Linked DNA regions of Lonchura striata. The protein of the gene in region 3 binds, or shares a complex with, the protein of the main gene of each other region. Links are inferred from orthologs where the notes say so. Each region holds a gene or a part of one and is shown on either strand. Other genes may lie near its edges.

The links.
Region 1: EXOSC2 (region 3) and EXOSC4 share a complex: the UniProt entries of both Homo sapiens proteins name them as parts of the RNA exosome core complex. The link is inferred for Lonchura striata from reciprocal best matches to the Homo sapiens genes EXOSC2 and EXOSC4.
Region 2: EXOSC2 (region 3) and EXOSC9 share a complex: the UniProt entries of both Homo sapiens proteins name them as parts of the RNA exosome core complex. The link is inferred for Lonchura striata from reciprocal best matches to the Homo sapiens genes EXOSC2 and EXOSC9.

What each region holds. Positions count from the first base shown.
Region 1 is NC_134603.1:819,491-826,589, reverse strand, and holds the start of EXOSC4 (exosome complex component RRP41), read right to left. Parts: upstream 3,002-7,099; coding exon 2,831-3,001; intron 1,749-2,830; coding exon 1,530-1,748; intron 1-1,529. UniProt on the Homo sapiens protein: Non-catalytic component of the RNA exosome complex which has 3'->5' exoribonuclease activity and participates in a multitude of cellular RNA processing and degradation events.
Region 2 is NC_134606.1:69,539,467-69,546,641, forward strand, and holds the start of EXOSC9 (exosome complex component RRP45), read right to left. Parts: upstream 3,002-7,175; 5' UTR 2,961-3,001; coding exon 2,895-2,960; intron 2,721-2,894; coding exon 2,626-2,720; intron 2,037-2,625; coding exon 1,917-2,036; intron 1,831-1,916; coding exon 1,728-1,830; intron 1,314-1,727; coding exon 1,176-1,313; intron 1,069-1,175; coding exon 986-1,068; intron 854-985; coding exon 721-853; intron 254-720; coding exon 165-253; intron 1-164. UniProt on the Homo sapiens protein: Non-catalytic component of the RNA exosome complex which has 3'->5' exoribonuclease activity and participates in a multitude of cellular RNA processing and degradation events.
Region 3 is NW_027461138.1:109,882-117,663, reverse strand, and holds the start of EXOSC2 (exosome complex component RRP4), read right to left. Parts: upstream 3,004-7,782; 5' UTR 2,923-3,003; coding exon 2,798-2,922; intron 2,720-2,797; coding exon 2,618-2,719; intron 2,459-2,617; coding exon 2,413-2,458; intron 2,179-2,412; coding exon 2,089-2,178; intron 1,978-2,088; coding exon 1,912-1,977; intron 1,778-1,911; coding exon 1,709-1,777; intron 863-1,708; coding exon 686-862; intron 511-685; coding exon 382-510; intron 1-381. Other genes in the region: PRDM12 (PR domain zinc finger protein 12), read right to left, coding at 4,955-5,337, 6,240-6,351. UniProt on the Homo sapiens protein: Non-catalytic component of the RNA exosome complex which has 3'->5' exoribonuclease activity and participates in a multitude of cellular RNA processing and degradation events.

The sequences.
Region 1 (7,099 bases), on a different chromosome or scaffold from region 3:
GCCCGAGTGCCCCAGCAGCGCCAGCCCGGCCGCGCTGACGCTGGCCCCCAGCTCGCCGCCGTCCGCCTGCAGCACCTGGGGGGAGAGCGGGGTCAGGGGCACCCCAAACTCCCAAAATCCACCCAAAATCCACCCAAAATTCACCCAAAAATCCCACAGAGCCCGAGTGCCCCAGCAGCGCCAGCCCGGCCGCGCTGACGCTGGCCCCCAGCTCACCGCCGTCCACCTGCAGCACCTGGGGGGAAGAGCACTCAGAGACACCCCAAAAACACCCAAAACACCCCAAAATCCACCCAAAACAGCCCAGAAACACCCAAAACACCCCACAGATCCTGTGTGCCCCAGCCTGGCCGCGCTGACGCTGGCCCCCAGCTCACCCCTGTCTGCCTGTAGCACCTTCGGGGACAAGGGGTGACTCAAAATCCCCCAAAACACCCAAAATAACCCCCAGGATCCCCCAAATCCCCCCAAACTCTCCCAAATCCCCCCCAAAGCCCTGACCTGGACATGCACGTCGATCTGCGAGCGCGGGTAGAGCTGTGCCAGCACGGCGCCCTCCAGCACGCCCCGCAGCAGCAGGGCACCCCCAAACACCCCCAGACCCTCCCAGGACACCCCCAAAACCCCCAGGACACCCCCAAACCCCCCCAGGACACCCCCAGGACACCCCCAAACCCCCCAGGACACCCCCAAACCCCCCCAGGACACCCCCAAACCGCTCACCTGGACGTGCACGTCGATCTGCGAGCGCGGGTAGAGCTGTGCCAGCACGGCGCCCTCCAGCACGCCCCGCAGCAGCAGGGCACCCCCAAACACCCCCAAAGCCCCCCAGGACACCCCCAAACCCCTCCAGGACACCCCCAAAACCCCCCCAGGACACCCCCAAACACCCCCAGGACACCCCCAAGCCCCCCCAGGGTCACCTGTACGTGCACGTCGATCTGCGAGCGCGGGTAGAGCTGTGCCAGCACGGCGCCCTCCAGCACGCCCCGCAGCAGCAGGGCACCCCCAAACCCCCCCAAAGCCCCCCAGGACACCCCCAAACCCCCCCAGGACACCCCCAAAACCCCCAGGACACCCCCAAACCCCCCCCAGGGTCACCTGTACGTGCACGTCGATCTGCGAGCGCGGGTAGAGCTGTGCCAGCACGGCGCCCTCCATCACGCCCCGCAGCAGCAGGGCACCCCCAAACACTCCCAAACCCCCCCAGGACACCCCCAAAACCCCCAGGACACCCCCAAACCCCCCCAGACCCCCCCAAACCCCCCCAGGACACCCCCAAACCCCCCCAGGACACCCCCAAACCGCTCACCTGTACGTGCACGTCGATCTGCGAGCGCGGGTAGAGCTGTGCCAGCACGGCGCCCTCCAGCACGCCCCGCAGCAGCAGGGCACCCCCAAACACCCCCAAAGCCCCCCAGGACACCCCCAAACCCCCCAGGACACCCCCAAACCCCCCAGGACACCCCCAAACCCCCCCAGGACACCCCCAAACCCCCCAGGACACCCCCAAACCCCCACAGGGTCACCTGTACGTGCACGTCGATCTGCGAGCGCGGGTAGAGCTGTGCCAGCACGGCGCCCTCCAGCACGCCCCGCAGCAGCAGCGCTCGCTCCGCCGCCCGCCGGTCGCTGCCGCCCTGCGCCGGGCGCCGCCGCCGCTCGCCGCCCCCCGCGAACGGCGCCGCGCTGCAGCGGCAGCTGAGCAGCGCCCGGTCCGGCGGGGCCTTGGCCCGGGACCCCCGGACCTGGGGGGAAAGGACATGGGGGGCTGTGGGACCCCCGGACCTGGGGGGAAAGGGGATGGGAGTGGGGGGCAAGGACATGGGGGGCCTTGGCCCGGGACCCCCAGAGCTGGGGGAAAGGGGATGGAGTGGGGGGCAAGGACATGGGGGGCTGTGGGACCCCCGAACCTGCGGGGGAAACGGGGATGGGAGTGGGGGGCACGGACATGGGGGGCTGTGGGACCCCCGGACCTGGGGGGAAAGGGGATGGGAGTGGGGGGAGCATGGACATGGGGGGCTGTGGGACCCCCGACCCTGCGGGGGAAAAGGGGATGGAGTGGGGGGAGCACGGGCAGGGGGGGCTGTGGGACCCCCGAACCTGTGAGAAAGGGGATGGGAGTGGGGAGAATAGACATGGGGGGGGGCTTGACCCGGGACCCCCGAACCTGCGGGGAGAAAGGGGATGGGAGTGGGGGGCACGGACATGGGGGAGCATGGACATGGGGGGCTGTGGGACCCCCAGAGCTGGGGGAAAAGGGGATGGGAGTGGGGGGAGCATGGACATGGGGGGCTGTGGGACCCCCAGAGCTGGGGGGGAAATTGGAGGGCTGGGAGTGGGGGGGCACACAAAGGGTGGGGCTGGGGGACCCCCAGAGCTGGGGGGGGGGGGGTAAACATCAGGGACTGGGGGGACCCGGAGATGGGGAGGCTGTGGGACCCCCAAAGCTGCAAGGAAAAAAGGGGGGCTGGGGGGGGGGGGGGGGCGTGGGACCCACACAAGTGGGGGGGGGGGAGAGAAATGGGGGGAGGGCACAAATTGGGGAGGGGGGCTCAGAATGGGGGACCCTGAAAGTCCCGGGAGGAGGGGGGAGACTGAGGGGGGGTCACAAGCCCCGAGGGGATTCACGAACCCAGGGGAAGTTCACAAGCCCCGGGAGAGGCTCACAAGCCCCAGGGGAGGTTCACAAACCCCGGGAGAGGCTCACAAGCCCCAGGGGAGGTTCACAAGCCCCGGGAGAGGCTCACAAGCCCCGGGAGAGGCTCACAAGCCCCGGGGAAGTTCACAAGCCCCGGGAGAGGCTCAGAAGCGCCGCGGCCCCGCTCACCTCGTGCGGGCCGTACACGGCCGCCAGCACTTTGGTGTTGCCCTGCTCCAGGTAGGCCGAGCCGTCCGCCCGGGCCAGCACCCCGAGCCGGGCCCGCACCTTGCGCAGCTCGTCCGGCCGGCGCCCGTCCGCCCGGAACCCCGCGTCGGACAGCAGCTCCAGCCCCGCCATGCCGGCACCGCGTGAGGGGCGGGACTACGGCTCCCGGCGTGCCCCGCGCCCGGCACCGCGTGAGGGGCGGGACTACGGCTCCCGGCGTGCCCCGCGCCCGGCACCGCGTGAGGGGCGGGACTACGGCTCCCGGCGTGCCCCGCGCCGGGACCGCGTGAGGGGCGGGACTACGGCTCCCGGCGTGCCCCGCGCCCGACGGAAGCTCCAGCCCCGCCATGCCGGCGCCGCGTGAGGGGCGGGACTACAACTCCCGGCGTGCCCCGCGCAAGCCGCCCGCCAACGGGAGGCACCGCCCCCGTGACGCTCCCGCGGCGGAAGCCACGCCCCTTGTGACGCAACCCCACACAGATCACGCCCCATTCGGGCCACGCCCCCGGACAGAGACCACGCCCCCCGCGGGGCGGTGCCCCGGTACCGCCCGAGGCCCCGCCCCTAAACCACGCCCTAAACCACGCCCCCCCGAGGCCCCGCCCCTCGGCCGGTTCGCGGCACCGGGCGGGACCCAACGGGACCCAACGGGACCCAACGGGACCCAACGGGACCCAACGGGACCGGGCGGGACCGGGGCGGCCGCAGCGCCCCCTGGCGGAGCGGCAGCACCGGGACCCCGCGGCACGGCCCGGCTCCGAGCCCGGCCCGTCCCGACCCGTGCGGCTCCGGCACCGAGCCTCGCACCGGGGCAGAACCGGCACCGGTCCTTCCCGGACAGCGCCGAGCCCTTGTCCCAGCGGCAGCGAGCGCTCACCGGGGGTAGCGGACCGGACCGGAGCGACCCTTCCCCGGCTGACCCCTGTCCGGCCGGCCCGACCTTGTCCAGGCCGGAGCGGAGCCCCGGGGCCGCCGCTCCCGGTGCCGGTGCCGGTGCCGGTGCCGGTCCCGCCATGGCGGCGCCGCTCGCCCCCGCCGGGTTCCAGTTCGCCATCGACCGCGGCGGGACCTTCACGGACGTGTTCGCCCGCTGCCCCGGCGGCCGCGTCCGCGTCCTCAAGCTGCTCTCCGAGGACCCGGCGTACCGGGACGCGCCCACCGAGGGCATCCGCCGCGTCCTGCAGGAGGTGCGAGCGACCCCCGGGCCCCGGGAGCGGCGGGGACGGCGGGGACAGCGAGGGGACACGGCGGGGGGACAGGGGGGACAGCGAGGGGACACGGCGGGGGGACAGGGGGGACAGCGAGGGGACACGGCGGGGGGACAGCGGGGACAGCGAGGGGACACGGCGGGGGGACAGCGGGAACACATCGGGACCCCCCGAGTGTCCTGCTGGGACCCCCGGGACACGGCGGGGACACGGCGGGACCCCCGGGACCCCCCGAGTGTCCTGCTGGGACCTCCGGTACCCCCGGGACACGGCGGGACCCCCGGGACACGGCGGGGACACAGCGGGACCCCCGGGACCCCCCGAGTGCCCTGCTGGGACCCCCGGGACACGGCGGGACCCCCGGGACACGGCGGGGACACAGCGGGACCCCCGGGACACGGCGGGGTACCACGGGACCCGCCCGAGGTCACCGGGACCCCCGGGACCCCCCGAGTGCCCTGCTGGGACCCCCGGTACCCCCGGGACCCCCGGGACACGGCGGGGACACGGCGGGATCTCCGGGACCCCCCGAGTGTCCTGCTGGGACCCCCGGGATCCCCGGGACCCCCGGGACACGGCGGGGTACCACGGGACCCGCCCGAGGTCACCGGGACCCCGGGACCCCCCGAGTGCCCTGCTGGGACCCCCGGGAGCACAGGGACCCCCCTGAGGAACTCCCCGGGACCACCGGGAACCCCCAAAGGACCCCACGGGGACCCCCCTCAAATGCCTCTCACAGGGACCCCCGTGGGGAATCCCGGGACCCCCGTGGGGAACCCCCAGACCCCTCCCGGCCCCCCTAAGCCCCCCAGCCCTGGGCCTGCCTGGACCCCCTGCCCCAGCCCGTGCGGGGGGTCCCCAAATGGGTCTGGGGGTCCCCAAGTGGGTCTGGGGACCCCAAAATGGGTCTGGGGACCCCAAATAAGTCTGGGGGTCCCCAAATGGGTCTGGAGGGCCCAAATAGGTCTGGGGTCCCCAAATGGGTCTGGGGTCCTGGGTCTCAGTTTTAGGGTCCTGCAGGAGCTGGGGGTCCCAGGTGAATTTGGGGTCCCGGGGCTCAGTTTTGGGGACCCCCCAGGAGCTGGGGGTGCCGCTGTGGCTCTGGGGTCCCGGGTGAATTTGGGGTCCCGGGGCTCAGTTTTGGGTCCCGGGGCTCAGTTTTGGGGTCCCGGGTGAATTTTGAGGTCCCGGGGCTCAGTTTTGGGTGCCGGGGCTCAGTTTTGGGGTGCCGCAGGAGCTGGGGGTGCCGCTGTGGGTCTGGGGTGCCGGGGCTCAGTTTTGGGGTGCCGCAGGAGCTGGGGGTGCCGCTGTGGGTCTGGGGTGCCGGGGCTCAGTTTGGGGTGCCGGGGCTCAGTTTTGGGGTCCCGGGTGAATTTGGGGTCCCGGGGCTCAGTTTTGGGTCCCGGGGCTCAGTTTTGGGGTCCCGGGGCTCAGTTTTGGGGCGCCGCAGGAGCTGGGGGTGCCGCTGTGGGTCTGGGGTGCCGGGGCTCAGTTTTGGGGTGCCGGGGCTCAGTTTGGGGTGCCGGGGCTCAGTTTTGGGGTCCCGGGGCTCAGTTTTGGGTCCCGGGGCTCAGTTTTGGGGCGCCGCAGGAGCTGGGGGTGCCGCTGTGGGTCTGGGGTGCCGGGGCTCAGTTTTGGGGTGCCGGGGCTCAGTTTGGGGTGCCGGGGCTCAGTTTTGGGGTCCCGGGGCTCAGTTTGGGGTGCCGGGGCTCAGTTTGGGGTGCCGGGGCTCAGTTTTGGGGTCCCGGGGCTCAGTTTGGGGTGCCGGGGCTCAGTTTTGGGGTGCCGGGGCTCAGTTTTGGGGTCCCGGGGCTCAGTTTTGGGTGCCGGGGCTCAGTTTTGGGGTGCCGCAGGAGCTGGGGGTGCCGCTGTGGGTCTGGGGTCCCGGGGCTCAGTTTTGGGGTCCCGGGGCTCAGTTTTGGGGTGCCGGGGCTCAGTTTTGGGGTCCCGGGGCTCAGTTTTGGGGTCCCCGGTGAATTTTGAGGTCCCGGGGCTCAGTTTTGGGGTGCCGGGGCTCAGTTTTGGGTGCCGGGGCTCAGTTTTGGGGTGCCGCAGGAGCTGGGGGTGCCGCTGTGGGTCTGGGGTCCCGGGGCTCAGTTTTGGGGTTCCGCAGGAGCTGGGGGTGCCGGGGCTCAGTTTGGGGTCCCCGGGCTCAGTTTGGGGTGCCGGGGCTCAGTTTGGGGTCCCCGGGCTCAGTTTGGGGTCCCGGGGCTCAGTTTGGGGTGCCGGGGCTCAGTTTTGGGGTGCCGCAGGAGCTGGGGGTGCCGCTGCCGCGGGAGCAGCCCCTGGACGCCGCCGGGATCCAGTGGATCCGCATGGGCACCACGGTGGCCACCAACGCGCTGCTGCAGCGGCGCGGGGAGCGCGCGGCGCTGGCCGTGACCCGCGGCTTCCGCCACCTGCTGCACATCGGCACGCAGGCACGCCCGCGCCTCTTCGACCTGGTGAGCACACCTGGGCACACCTGGGCACGGCTGGCACTCACCTGGGCACGGCTGGCACTCACCTGGGCACTCACCTGTACCCAAACCCACCCCAAACCCACCCCAAACCCAACAACCCAAACCCACCCCACACCGGCACCTGCTGCACATCGGCACGCAGGCGCGCCCGCGCCTCTTCGACCTGGTGAGCACCTGGGCACGGCTGGGGCACACCTGGGCACGGCTGGCACTCACCTGGGCACTCACCTGTACCCAAACCCACCCCAAACCCACCCCAAACCCAACAACCCAAACCCACCCCACACCGGCACCTGCTGCACATCGGCACGCAGGCGCGCCCGCGCCTCTTCGACCTGGTGAGCACCTGGGCACACCTGGGCACGGCTGGCACTCACCTGGGCACTCACCTGTACCCAAACCCACCCCAAACCCACCCCAAACCCACCCCACACCGGCACCTGCTGCACATCGGCACGCAGGCACGCCCGCGCCTCTTCGACCTGGTGAGCACCTGGCACACCTGGGCACACCTGGGCACGGCTGGCACTCACCTGGGCACGGCTGGCACTCACCTGGGC
Region 2 (7,175 bases), on a different chromosome or scaffold from region 3:
GACATTATTTCAGGATAAACAAAAGTTGCTTCTCTTTTCAAGTTCAAATATACAAACACTTGCTCTTTAAAACAAATACAAATGAAGACAATTTGCTGATGGACATTAGTTTTTTACTACATTTCTTAAAAACCCCCATTTCCATCCCTTCCCAAAACACTCACCTGGCTTTTTGGTCATTTTCCAAGGCTTTCTGAATCAGTTCTGTTATTTCTGCGACCTTAACAGCTGTTATTTTAGTGCATCTCAGAATCTGTTTGTTACACATACAAAAACCAGTTTACAACCACGAAATCAACACGTTTTTAACTGAAACTATAGAGCATCATAAGAATCACAAACATTTAAATCACAGGAATTTCAAACACTTAAAATATAGCACCCTTAGCATGAAGGACTGGATTCATTGAGACATACAAAAAGTTAGCAGCTTCCAGAGTGCAACTGGAAATAATCTGCACATTTTTTTCAGCCAGATCACAGGGAAAATAAAAAGATAAATATCTGACCAAAAACTATGCATTTTCTACACCCCTTCAGCAGCATGGTACACAGTACTATGCTCTTCCACTAAAAGAAAAAATACACAATCTTTTCCAATAAAATCAGACAGTTAATTGGTTTCTCAGCTTCCAAATGTCATGGATATTTCCACATCAAGACTGCAGCACAGGAACCAGTCTATACACCACAGAAGGACTGATCAGAGCAAAGGTTTACCTGATCTGGCAGCAGCATGACCACTCCACTGGACTGGATGGTACAAATTTCATGGTGTTTATTCATGGCAATTACGAGGAGCCCATCCATCACCCGCTCCTCACGTTCAGTTGGGTCCACCAACAAATAGGTCCTAGAATCAAGGTTTGAAATATGAGGCAACAGTAGAAATTCGAGACACCTTACTACCCTTAAACACAATTAAACAAAGGAGTTGGCAAGGTTTATACCCCTTATGTGGGTACATAAGACCTCAAAATCTTACCCTTGATGGAAGAAGGCAAAACTGACACAAATGGGCATGTGGTGGATACTCAAGGGGACAGGATCACGTTCCTCAGGAGTGTACTTGGAAAGGAATTGGCCCAGAATACAGTTATTTATTAAACTCGTTTAATTTTAAAGTGACAAAGAAATTTCAGGAAATTTAAAACAGAAACAAAAACCCAGCTTACCACAGTTACTTCCTCTCCTTGCACAGACACATCTGGCCTGCGAAAATGACACAGAGCTACAATCCCTGCTATGCTGGCAGCATCAGTGATGTTGCCATCATGGTTTAACAGGTGCATGTCCAGCCGAATTTGCCAAACCTGACAAAAATACAAAAAATACAAAACTGCTTGATTCTACAGAAATTAATTTTTCTTCAAAACTAGTTCATCTTTTTTGAAACAGACAAAGAACCAATATATTTTCCCTAGGTCTTTGACTAAGAAGATTAGAGATCTAGGTATATTTCAAGAGACCCACTGTGCCAGATTTAATTAGGACAAAATATGCAGCACTTCAGCACAATTTAAACAACATTCTGTAGGGTCCCAGCTACTTCAGAAAGCCTATGCAGACATGACAAGTTAAAAATACCTCTCAAATCAGATGAGTGGATCTTTACATTAACCTAAAATCAGTACTTCTACTATCCAACACAAGACAGAGACCAACTTAAAATTGGACTATATGTATTTTTTAGTTTAAACCCACCAGGAATGAAGAAGTTTTCCTACCTTTTCACCAGCAACAACGCAGAGAGATTCAGTCTCAATACATTTGGAATCTCTGAGGCATCGCTCCAGTAGTCTGTTCAGTGACACCAGTAACTCAGATTGTCTGTTGGAATAAAATTAACCCAAAGTCAATACGATTACAGTGGCTTTTATGCCATCCCTGTTTACTCCTTTTAAGACATGCATTACCTGCCAGGCTCCAGCCCAGGTGCAGCCATGGGTGAGAGCTCCAGATTGAAGAAGAGCACACCCTCTGTGGGTCGACTGGGCTTAGGCGGAACGAGTTCACACGAGACCTGTGCAAGAACCCTGCCAAGGCAAATAAACCACCAAGTCACAGAAAATACCAGGGAAAATCTAGAAACAAAACACATACTTGGGGAGAAAAAAGCATGTGGTTAGGGTTTTAGTTTGTAATTCTCACTCCTGACAGTTTCTCGTTCAACATCTGTCAAACATTATTTAAAATCTGGTCAACAACTGAAGGAGCCAAATGTTAAGAACTAGAACGTACTCCTGTCTTTTAAGACTAAGAATTGACTCAAACACATGAGAAACTGTAATGACATATTTATGTAAATGCACAGATTTCACTTTTACACAGGCAAAAAAGGGTTGTTTGGTCTGGGGAAGAATGCAAAACGTGAGACCACTGAATAAACGGATGAAAACCTGGGAACAATTCTGCATTTTATAAATTATTTGTAACTACAATCATCACGGAAACCCCATCCCTTTCCCGCTTCCTTCCTTTCCATCCTCTCCTCTTTGCTCCCACCCTTGAAATACTAGGGCTTTAGGGCTTGAAAGGTTAAAATCTGTTTACAGAGATGTCTGCAGGCAGGGGAACCTCAGGCTCTCCTTGGCCCGGGGCCCGCGGCCGAGCCCCCGCGCCCACCTGGTCCTGCCCAGCTCCACCATGCAGCAGCCGCGGTCCGCGCCGAAGGAGACGCGGATGTTCCGGTAGTCGTAGCACTGCCTCCCGTCCAGGCGCTGCGGGAACACAGGGACACACACATGGAGAGGGTCGGTGCGCCATGCCCGCCATGCGACGGCACCGCGGCGGGGGAGGCGGCTCCCGGCGACAGCCGCGCTCCGCGGGCGGCGGGCAAGGGGATGGGGAAAGGGATGGGGAAAGGGGCGGGGAGGGGGGTGCTGGCGCCGCACCTTCTTCTCCTGGATGGCGCGGAGCAGGAAGCGCCGCTCGCAGTTGGAGAGCGGCGTCGCCTTCATGGCCGCGCCGTGAGGGGGCAGCGCGCGCGGGGCACGGCGCGGGGGGGGAGCGCGCGCGTCATCGCCGCGCGCCGCGCGTGCCCAGCGCGCACGCGCCGCGGCGTTGCCGCCCCCGCGCGCGCCCCCTCAGGGAGGGCGCGGCCCCGAGACTCCCGTAGCCGGGCGGCAGCGCGCTCTGCTTGGGGAAACTTCCTGCTATCCGAGCTAAACCTGCCCCCACTCAGCTTCACGCTGCTTCCCCGAGTCCTATCCCTGGTCACCAGAGTGCAGAGATCGGCATTGCCCCTCCGCTCCCCCTCCCGAGGATGCTGAGGTCTCCCCTCAGTCTCCGCCAGCTGAACAGACCAAGCGCCCCCAGGCGCCCCTCACACGGCTTCCCCTCCGGGCCCTTCAGCACCCTCGTGCTCTCCAGCAGCTCCCTGTCTTTTCCTTACTGCGGTGCCCAAAACTGCACGCAGCACCCGAGGAGAAGGCGCGCCGGTGCAGGGTGTGAGGGTGCGCGCCTCAGCGCCTCGGCAGCGACAAATGGTGCCGGAGTGCCGGTCCTCAGGAAAGCCATCTGGAATTTAAAAAAAAACAACCAAACAAACAACAACAACAACAACAACAAAAAAAAAAAAAAAAAAAAAAAAACACAAAAAAACCCAACAAAAAAACCGCACAAAACATGCATGCCGGACATTTCGAGTGGTTAACACTATTGTGGTGCCCAGCCCTCCAGGTGCGGATGCCCCGCGGCACCCGGGCTGCCAGCAGAACATCCCTCCCTGCTGTTCTGAAATGTTGCCCGTAAGTAAAAAGGCCTTTACAAGTGGCTTTTATGCTTCGTTTGAGCTAAAACGAGAAAATCTATTGTCTTCCCACCAATACTAAACCCCAGACACTGGCATATTCCACACAAAAGTGTTGAAATAGCTCAGTCACGCTGTCTTTTCAAGCCTTGTTAATACACTACAGTTCTGGTACAAACTAAAATGTAAGTCGTGTTTCTAAAACTCACAAGTTTGTGCTAGTGAGGACAAGTGCTGCCTGATTTTCCCATGCTGGTTTTATATTTTCAGTTTAGGATAAATATCATCACAAATAATAGGTGTAAGAAAATATCTATAAAATTACAGAAAGACACTCCTTCTCCAAGGACAAAAATAAGCAAATTGCCCTTGGAGTTTTACTGACAATTTTTACGTGGAAATTCTGTCTGATTTTACTTTTTTGGTGTGAATTTGGCGACAATATTCATTAGCGAAGGCTTGGGGTTAAATTCTGTAACTCTTCAAGTTTACTAACAGCAAATTTGGAAGCGTTTTTTTTTGTTTGTGGGAGTTGTCCAAACTACTTTACTCTTCGTCAATTACAAAAATATGTTAATTTCAGCATATATTGAGATTTCTGCTTGAGGTGGAGTGGGAAAATTCCTGTTCCTGCTCTCTCAGTGAACTGTTAAGTGACTCGATCTATCGGGCTGGCGGAAAAGCACGTTTTCAAAAGAGAAGGTGGTGGTGATGGTGAACTTCAGTGGGAGCTGGATGTAATTCCAGGGGAAATAAGTCATGTATTGGGGCTGGAAATCAGCTGCGTCCCCTTTGATCCACACAGTCTTCTTCACACAAAGGCTACTTTGCAGCTTTGGTGCTTGTACATGTGCTAAGAAGGGTAAAGAATTTAATGGACAAATTAAGGAGGCATAAAAACACATCATTGGAAATCTGTAGGAGGAGGGTACAGAGAAAACAAGATCAGTATAAATGGTTAATGAAATAGGAGCTGAGTAATTTCTGTGTTTCTGAACAGTGAGGGGCAGGGCTACAGTGGTAATGAAATAATGGAAATACTCTGGGTATTCAGAAGGAGTGAGTGTTGCACCCTGCAGAGTGAATAAATGAGCAAATAAATCACAGGTACTTAGGCTAAAGCAGGAATTTTTAGAAAGAAGATCGTGATGATCTACTGTGCCCACATGGAAGTGTTTCTTCATTTGAGCTGAATGCTCTGTGGGCTGAAATGCTTGAATTGGATTATTTTACTGAACCGAGCCTGGAGGGAAAATCGCATTTGAGGACTGGAGAAGAAAACCAAACTGCATCAGAATCTCTGCATCTTGACAGCAAGCTGCCATTGATTTTTATAGCCTAATCAAAATAAATAAGAAATTGACCTTCTCTTTCCATCTCAGCCTTAACTGCAATGTGCCTTTGCTGCTTGGCTGCGAGTCCTGCTCATTGACACATATCATCCATGCATGACATGATGTATGCAGTGCTCCAGCTGATAAGGTTATTTGGGAAGAAAGGCTCTGCCTAGATGTAATAATGTAATTTATAATTTGTTTTTATGATGAAAGTTCCAGGGGGTGTGGGAGGATGGGCAATCCTTGCAAGCAGCGCTGCTGGCAGAAGTGAGGCATGAACAGTACCTCCTGCTGAGATGAGGAACAGGATATTCTGGCCAGGATCCAGTGAAGCACTCAAACAAGCTCTTTGTCTGAAGCACCTTTGTCCCTTACGTATTAGAAGGAATGTGTCACAGCTTCCAAGGCTAAAATATAGGAAAGGAGTTGCCTGGTATATATGCTGAAATAATTTTATTTAAAAATAAATTTAAAAAAAAAAAAAAAAAAAGGGAGGGGATCCAGAACTGCCAGGAAATCATCTAAACACCATCTTAAGGCAAGTTGGTAATAACATCTTCATCTGCTTGCTGAATGCTTGCTCGATCATGTTTCCATAGGCTAGATTTCAGAGTAAACCCCAAAATATTCTTGCTGTTTCCACCTGTACTTTAGCCTTCACATCACCTCTTGGGGTTTCCTGCTCTCATGAAAGAAGTTTTTTGCTCCAAAGGGTCCTGCCAGAAATTCTGAACCTGTAGACAGTGCTGCATTGAATGAACACTGATTCCCAGCTCTCAGCAATCCCTTGGGGAAAGTGGAAAGTGTTTCCAAGGCTGGATGCCAGGCAAGCAACAAAGTCAGAGGAAAAGAAGTTACACTTCTCCTTTTATTTGTCTCCACACTCTGCAATTTCCTTGTCTCCAGGCAAACTGTTTCAATAATTTCTATGGATTCAAGTGAAACCAGTTGCTGAGTGAAGTGTCATGCTAAACCAGAATTGTTACAGTTTGAGTTGAAGGCTCTGAATATACAAATCAATGTCTGAGTTCAGATTTTAATGTGGTTTAAGATTTTCAAACCTTTTAGAAGCATCTTCAAATTCTCTTAAGAAGCAACAGATGTCCATGTTGAAGTAGAAACTGTAATTTTGTTTCATGGGGAATAGGCAAAAATAGACCAAAACTGTTGCCTGAATAAAAGCACTTTCTCATATCCTAATCTTAAATATTACTTGACAGATAGGTTAAATACTGGCTTGAGGCAAGAGCTCAGGAGTGTGAAAATGAAGTGAATATCTATTTGGAAGCTGGTTTTTTTTTTTGTTGTTGTTGATGTTTTTTTTTTCCTATTGGAAAGGTGCCAGAAAATGTTTGCTGATACCACATATTGACAGTCTTACAATACAGAGGAAATCCAGAGTACTGACAAGCTTACTGACATCTGATCCCTAAGAGATAATAGCACGTTTAATAACATTGGGGGATAATCAGATAATCAAGTTGAACCATTAAATCAAAATGGCTTTTTTTCCCCCAATTATTTTTCCTGCTTATTCAGCTTCCAAGTATCTGTTACAGACCAGAAATTAATCTTGACTGCCTTGAAATGCTGGGAGTCATAATCTTTCTCAATCAAGCATTTTTGTTGTTCTGTATGGAAAACCTCTCTTAAAATCTTGATACTAAAATTCTCCATTTAAAACAGGGGATGCATCTTTTTGTTGACTCAGCTGATTTTAAAGGAAATTTCACTTTTAAAGTTGTATCTTAGAATGCAGGTGTTGTTAAAAGATAGAAGTGTGGTAGAGAAGTGTCTCCTGTTGTGTAGAACAGCCACCCATCAGTGTCTCGTGCACAGAAGCAGACTGTCTCACATGAAGAATCCTCTGTGTACCACATATAAATCTTAATCTCCCCATATTTTCCAAAGATCCCAATTCTTCATTCCCTGCCCAGAAATTCTTACAAGAAAACTGCTGTGAGTAGTTGAATTCCTCGTAGTAATACAAGCAAAATGGGAAAGTGTCCAATTATTGTGTCAGAGACCACAGAGCACTGGAGAATGATGGGTGCTGGCCTTGCCTTTTTCCACCAGGTAATGTTTTT
Region 3 (7,782 bases):
GTGGATACAGTCATGAGCCTGCTCTCTGTACAATACATGACATTTACTTTTTCATTGCTTCATAAAATGCACTGTGCCCTCATACAATGCCAAATTTAAAACTGTTTCCACAGGAATTAAAGGGTCCATAATCCCAGCAAGGGATACACAACATCTATCAAAAACGGAACTGATCTCTCTTTAAGAACAGTTAGTCTTTGCCAGAGGCAGAACCTTAAAATTGTGCAATCAACTTATGTTGTGCAGAAGAGGAGAGTTCATACTGTCGCTTACTACAGGGTGCTTTGGTAAGTTGAAAGGAAACTCTGACTTCAGCAGCAACTGATGCAGCCTTTCTGTTCCCTCCCCTCAGTGTGGAATAAACACTACTGGTTCCTGTACCTGATGAGGAAGGGATGCTTCATAGCAATATAGGATGCTGGTGTCAAAGAGCATAATCTTGTGAGTAACCAGAGCCATGATGCAGTTTCGGAGCCGTGAGATCACCTCCCGGTCAGACAAGGGAACTGGCTGAGGAAGGACAGAGGAAAAGGGATGAATGCACAGGGAAATAATGCAAGTAAAAAAGCCTTGCTGTGAACCTAACACAAGATCCTGAAAGTCTCGGGTTCCTCACGTGCCTCTGACTATGTCAGACTAAAAACCATCACTGGCAGAAGAAGGCTCACGTTCCCTGGACGCTCACCTCCAAGTTGGCCGTGTAGCCTCCGGCCTCGTCATCCTTCTGCTCCGGGGTTGGGTAGATCCAGATGAAGCCATTGTTGCCGAGGATCACGGATGCCCCACAGGGCAGGTCATGGAAATGAGTCTTCTGGCGTTTCACAAGGGAGGGAGAGACCTGAACCAGCACACCCTGGGCAAGCTGGAGAGCAGACCACGAGGCTCAGTGTGAGAGATATCATGAACCACCACAGATAACACCAAGTCACTGATACACACTCACTCCATTCCTGGCCTAGGAATAACACTGTTTTAACATCTTTTCCTGTGAAACAGTGAATATAAAACCTGCCTGCCTCTGGCAGCGCTGGGAGGATTAGCTAATTGCCTGCACAGCCCTTTGAAGATGAAGAATACTCTAAGTGCTTAGCACAAATGTTAATAATATCTTGATTGTAACTACACATCAACCATCCCTGCAGAAAAATGAGGAGTCAGAGGCCCAATTTAGCAGAACACTTTCTCTGGTAATCCAATCACTGTCCTTCACCCTTTGTGCAATAAGCACACTTCCCTTTCATCTTTTAAGTGTTAATACCTTTGGTCTGGTAATCCCAAACTGCAACCTACGCTCCAATGGCCCCTTGGCTTATTTCAATGCACAAAACCAGAGATAAATGCCAACTGTGTAAAGCCTAAAATAGAGCCCTGGGGAGAGGAACAAGTCACAGGGGCAACAGCCAGCAGAAAGGAGTGAGGAGATCTCTCCCCAGGATTGAATTCCTAAGTGGCTAGTGGGGGGAAACAGAATAGCAGGCTGAAACTGTGGATGGGGAGAGCAGTGGATCAAAGGGCAACTCAAGGACACCTCCTCTGTTTTGGGGAAACTTTTCTTGGTGGTCCCGTGGAAGAGCTGAGAGTCTTCCTGTCCTGCAGGAATGGGTTATAACAACATCCTGCTCTACTCAGAGCTCTTTTCTTTAAAAAGCCTTGTACAAGTCAGCTGGTGCAGATTTTTCCCAGGATCAAGGGCTTTGGAATAACTCACCTTCCCATACTTCAGGCTCCGGGTGTGCAGCGATACAGCCCCATCAGAAAATATAGACTGGACCTCTGCCTGTCGGTGCCACTTAAGGAAACAGAGTCCCTAAGGCTGCCCAGTGCCACCCCAGCATAGCTCTCACCCCCAGCCAAGCTCTCCCTGTTCTTCCCATGCCCTTGGCTCTTCTGTCAATGGGAGCAGCAGGATACACTGATGAGATCCCCTTCCTGCAGGTAGTCCCTCATTGCAAGCTCATCTTCTGCTGATTTCCTTCTCTGAAACATCACAAGAAAAGTTACACGTATCCCAGAACGAGGAAATATCCATCAGTAGCTCATTGTGGGGGCCCTTAAGATGCCACACAAAACACAACCAGCTACACTCACCAGCTCCCCACCAGGTAAATTTATAGACGACAGCAACAGGACTGAATCCAGCCTGGAATTTATTTCCACTTTCCATCGCTTCTGCTGAACCTAAAGGGGAAAAAGCCACCAAAACTTATGGGTACACAATCAAAAACTGCACTGAGCTGCAGGAGGGAAAGCTCTGCTGGCTTCTTCCAGCCTCATTCCAGTAAAAATCCACACGTTCCCAGCACCCTGTGCACGGACACTGATGCGTGTCAGTGTTTTAGGCTCCCGGGAAGCGCTTAGAGTCGGACTGATCCACGACCACGCTCCTCCTCCTGCACAAACACGGGGCTTTACCTCGGTGATCCTGCCGACCACGACGTCGCCGATCTCGCCGTTGTACCTGGGGCAGAGAGCGGCGGTCACACCCCACACCCCACACCTCACACCCCTCACCTCACACCCCACACCTCACACCCCACACCTCACACCCCTTACCTCACTCCCCACACCTCACACCCCACACCCCTCACCTCACAGCGGGCCTCGCCGCCGCGCTCACCTGCCCTTCAGCGCCCTCACACACACCAGCTTGTTCACCCTCTCCACCACGCCGGCCACCGAGGCGATCAGCTTGTCGTCCTCCACATAAGTACCGTGGCCCCTGCGGAGAGACGGCGGCTACCTAAGGACAGCCCGAAGCCGCGCCGCCCCGCCGCCTCCCCTCCGCCGCTGCCCGCACCTCATGTATCCCGTGTCCGTGGTGATCGTGTCCCCCGGTGCCACCAGGTGCTTCTCGCCGCTCCGGGGCGCGCTGGAATCCAGGGGCGCTCGGGCCGCCGGCAGCCTCATGGTGACCGCCGCCATCTTGGCCCCGCCGTACGCGCCTTCCGCCCGCCATGTTGGCTGCTGGCGAAAGCGCGCCTGAGGGCGCGGGCGCCGCCATCTTGAGTGAGGGCGGCAGGGGCGGTGACTGGGCAGCCATGTTTGTTTCTGGCAGCGAGGGGCCTGTTGGGCTTCGTTCCGGTGGAGCCCAAAGGGAACCGCGGCCATCTTTAGTGAGGGCACCCCGGGCAGTGACCCTCTCCCTCAGAACCCTCCTGGCGAACGCGGGGAACGCCACGGGGCTCTCCCGGGGCTCACCCCCGGTTCGGGTGCCCCTCACACAAGGTGTCCCGCTGAGGGCCATCCTCTGACGCCCTCCCCAGCTGGCCGCTGCTCACTCTGGGCTTAAACATCCCCGTGGATGAGCCCTTCCCCTCGGCCGAGCTGTGCCAGCACGAACTGATACGTCCGTGGAAAAGTTTAATCCATTCAAGCACCGTTAGAGTCTCAGGGCTGCGATGGCCATCAGCAAATAATGTCGCTTCCTTCCAGCAGGGCTTACACCTGTATGCCACACCCATATCCCGCCTGTATCACAGCCGAAATATGGGCGCTAATTCACGGGATGCATCAAACGATGTCCAGTGGCTGTGGCTTCAAAGAGGAGCTGTAAAAGTTCACAAGAATAGGGACTGGCAGGGTAGAATCATACCCACTCTGGAGTGAGCCAGCCCTTACCCCAGCTTCCAGACCTGAAAAAGGGCTTCTTTAGCCAAAACCTGGTTTTTTTCCCCTCCCAGGTGTATTCTTGGTCCAACAGATGACACCGCATCTCCTCACTCACACATTGTTGTGGCAGTTGAGACCTTCATTCATCCCAACACCCACATCCTTCCCCTGGCACATAAAATAAAGCTCTCCATGCAATCCCTCTTCTAAATGATAAATGTTCCAAGTAATTTTTATTTAGAATACAAGAGAGGTACAAATGTATTTACACTGTGTACATATACAATCAAATAATATATAATATCAAAGTCTTGTAAATAATGTTTACATAAATATTTACAAAGTTAAAGTGACAGTTGTTTGGGGGTGGGTTTTTTTTTTTTTCTTTTGTTTTTGTTTATTTTCTTCTGGAAGTGAAACACATTTGTGAGAACTTTATACATCTTAGACTTATAATTAATATTAGAATACCTTCTTTTAAGATTTATGATACACAGCCCTCCTCCGCTGTGTGGGGACTCCAGAGGGCGCTTAGAGTTGTCCTTGGGGACAGAGCTGGCCCGGGGACAGGTTTTCTCTGTCCCCAGAGGGCAGTAGCAATTCCAACCAGAATGTTCCCTCACAGCTGGGAAAGGGATGGGGAGAAGAGCCCGGCAGAGCTCAGGTTCCCCGCAGAACCTGCCTGTGGATGGGCATTCCCAGCTGGCACCGTGTCCCCTCTGCCCACAGCACGGCTTGGAGCGGTGACAGACCCCAGGGCACGGCTCTGGCTGGAGCAGGGCGGGCACGGGGGGCTCAGGTGCAGGAAAATGCGAATGTTCACTAACTCGGGGCTCCCAAAGAGGGAAAGGTGTCCCTTGGAAGGAGCCACCAGGACCAAAGTCACTCCCAGGGCAAATAGGTGTGACTGGGGGGGCCACATCAGGGCCGTGCCAACATTTCAGTGGGGCACGTGTCTGCTAAAGCAGAGGAGGACAGATAACAGGAATTTTTCTTTCTACCAAATTATCTGTAAAATCCAGGCATGGCTCCTCCAGGCCCAGCTTTTCGGCTCTCCCAGTCCTCCCGCAGTGCACTGGCAAACCCACACAGCACATCCCACTGCACCCCTTCTCCTCTGCCAACCCCAGGGAGCACCAGCCACACCTCCTTGGGGATGCTCCTCCACAACTCAGCTGCAGAGCTGGGGGTTCCCTCCTGCCGACCCCCTGCAGTCAGCGATGCCCAAAAACAACCCAACACTCCTCCGAGACAAAGCAGCTCAGCCAAGGGTCACCCCCCCAGTTCATTGCATGTCTCAGCATCAGTCTTTGATGTCCCACATCCTGCTGCCATCCCGGGGGCTTCACAGCACCATGGTGGGGATGTGATGGGCCAGGGAGGCAGGGTGGGGCACGGGCAGGGCGGGCGAGTGGGCCTGCAGGGAGGCGTTGGGGGGCCGGTGGCGGGCGCTTTTCTGGTGGGCCCGCAGCCCTGCGAGCTGGGAATAGGCACTTTGGCAAACCTGGCACTTGTAGGGCCGCTCGCCCGTGTGCAAGCGGACGTGGTTGCGGAGGGTGGAGGACTGGCTGAAGCGGCGGTTGCAGAAGCGGCACACGAAGGGCTTGTCCAGGGTGTGGATGCGCATGTGGGAGCGCAGGTTGCTGCGGGAGTTGAAGCCGCGGTGGCAGATGACGCAGCGCATACGCCCCGTCGTGCTGGCCCCCGTCTCCACTGCGTGGAAATCCTCTGGGGACGACAGGAGATAGTCAGGCGCTGCCCTCCAGCACGGCAGCTCAGCCCACCCCAATTCCCTGGGCTGCTGGGTGCTCTGGAAAACCCCCAGTGCCTTCTTGCTGGCTCCCTGCTGCTGTGGTCACCTATCCTGGGCAGAGCGGCATCTCAGGATTTTGAGATGCAGCTAGTGCTGGGAATGGGCTCAGCCAGATTTAGGTAAGGGGAATGTTCAAGCTGAGCTGAATGAATCCCTTATAAATAGACACAAAACCAATTTTCCCCTCCCTGGGCTGCAGCAGAGCTGGAGGAGGGGGGTGCAAGGACTCTCAGGAACCCCCAACCACACTGTCCAGCCCCTGCCCCAGTCCCAGTTTCTCCCCTCGCTCTGCTGGGCTCAGACATGGCTCTCTCAGAGTGGGGAGCAAAGTCAGGGAGCGCAGAAGTGGCTCCAAACACAGCCTGAGCTCCGCTGTGCCACAGAGAAGCACCTCAGGGAGCCACTGAGACGAGCGGAGAGCAGAAGCTCAAGCAGAGACAGCCCTCCTGTGCTGGTGATTAAGATCCTTTAAATGCAGAGTGCGGGTGTAGAGGCTGCATCCACTTGGTGTTTCACGGAGTGTTGGGGCTGCCTTGCACTCACACCCTGCTCTGCTCCTCCCTGCCTGGCTGGGTCAGGCAGTGACTGCCACCACCCCACCCGCAGCAGCCTTGGGCAAGCTGGCCTGGAGGCTTCGCCCTGAATAACTGAGGATCTGCTCAAGCTGTGTGGATCATTTCACAGTCCCTGTGCTTGTCCACAGAGAACTGGGATATCTGACATACCCCAGGGATGTCCCTGCCTTGTGCCCTCAGAGCTGGGCACGGGGTGAACAGGCAGGGATGCTGCACCCTTGGCTCATTCTGATGTTACCTACCATGTTTGTTCTTCTTCTGCTCCTCTTCCAGCCCTGGCACACCTGGGATGCCCAGGAAGGTGTTGTGGGAGTTCCCATACCAGACCAGCAGCTCTTGGTCTGGAGGAATCATCTAGAAAGAGAGAGAAAGAAAGGGTTGTTGGGAGGGGTGATGAACATCCATCCCTGCACTGATCTACCCTGTTTCTGCCCCATTTCTGTGAGATCCTGATGCCATCTGGGACCTGCCAGCTGACCCCAACACCCACAGGGAGGCACAGAACAGCCCAGGATGTAGCACTGGAGGTGATGGCGCAGCTCAGCACCAGCACAAACCATTCCAGGCTCTCCCCCAAGCTGGGATACAAACATATGGGACATGGAGCCCCACTCAGCACTCCAGCAGAGCATTTTATCTTTGGACAGAGCCATCAGTACCCTTCAGCTGCAGGTCACGGGCAGCACCTCCCACCCACCCTGCCAGGGCTGATTTTAGAAGGTGGAAACGCAGATCTGCCAGCAAAGGGCTCATCAGCCTGCGGGGCAGAGGAGAGCTCAGAGCTGCTCTCAGAGACCGTGGCTCAGGTGTGAAACCTGCTTCTATCCCCCACCAAAGCTGCAGTGCCTGCAACAGCCCAAGGACAGCTAGAGGAGCAGGGCAGGGGTTTTGCATCATCCATGCTCCTGTTTCCCTGCAGTGGTGGCACTTCTCCTGTCCCTGCCGTTCCTGTCATGCTCCCGCATGGCTGGGGCAAGCGGCCAGGAAACGCTGCTCAAGGCTCCCCTCATGCAGCAGCTGTGGCTGGGAAGATGGATCCTCTCAGACCAGTTCAAACAACACTAATAACAACATAATTTATAAAAAAAACCAAACATATTTTCCCTAGCAGTTCCTACTGTTAAGTATCTAATTTAGAAACAGGAATGTCCTGTATATTGGAAAATTGTTTTCTGTACACTGAGCATGTTAGATCCAAATAAAGCATCATCCATGTGAAACATAGATGCTAAGTTCAATCACCTCAACACTGAAAATACGTTGAATTTAAAGCATCTGAAATCAATAGGAATTTTACTTCATATCTTTGTCCCTCTGCATAAAGACCTCCCTGGGCTGCAGAGGAGAAATTTGGGAGGTAAAGGAAGCTGATATCCTTTTGCATCCCAAACTGATGACACTGTTTCTTGGCATTATATACCCTTAACAGAAAATTAGCCATTTTTAATACAAGCAAATAAAATATTGCCGAAAGGATAAAACAATCTGCATGGGTGTGCATACACGGGTGTGTGGGTTTTTTTGCTGAAGCTGCTGCAGCCACACCAGCAGCAGGTGAGCACCCATGTGCATACACCCCAAAGCAAATTCAAATTGCCTCCCAGGAATCTTGTGGCCTTCAGATCAAAGGCCAAAACTTTCTGCCTTCGTTTTATTTTCCAGCAGCAGCAACTTGATATTGCTGAGAAAGAGGATGGGAAAATCAAATCAGCAAATAAGGGCAGGAACGGGCAAAATGCATTAAAATATCTAAAAAATATCTAAGGTAAATAGGAAAAAAAAGCA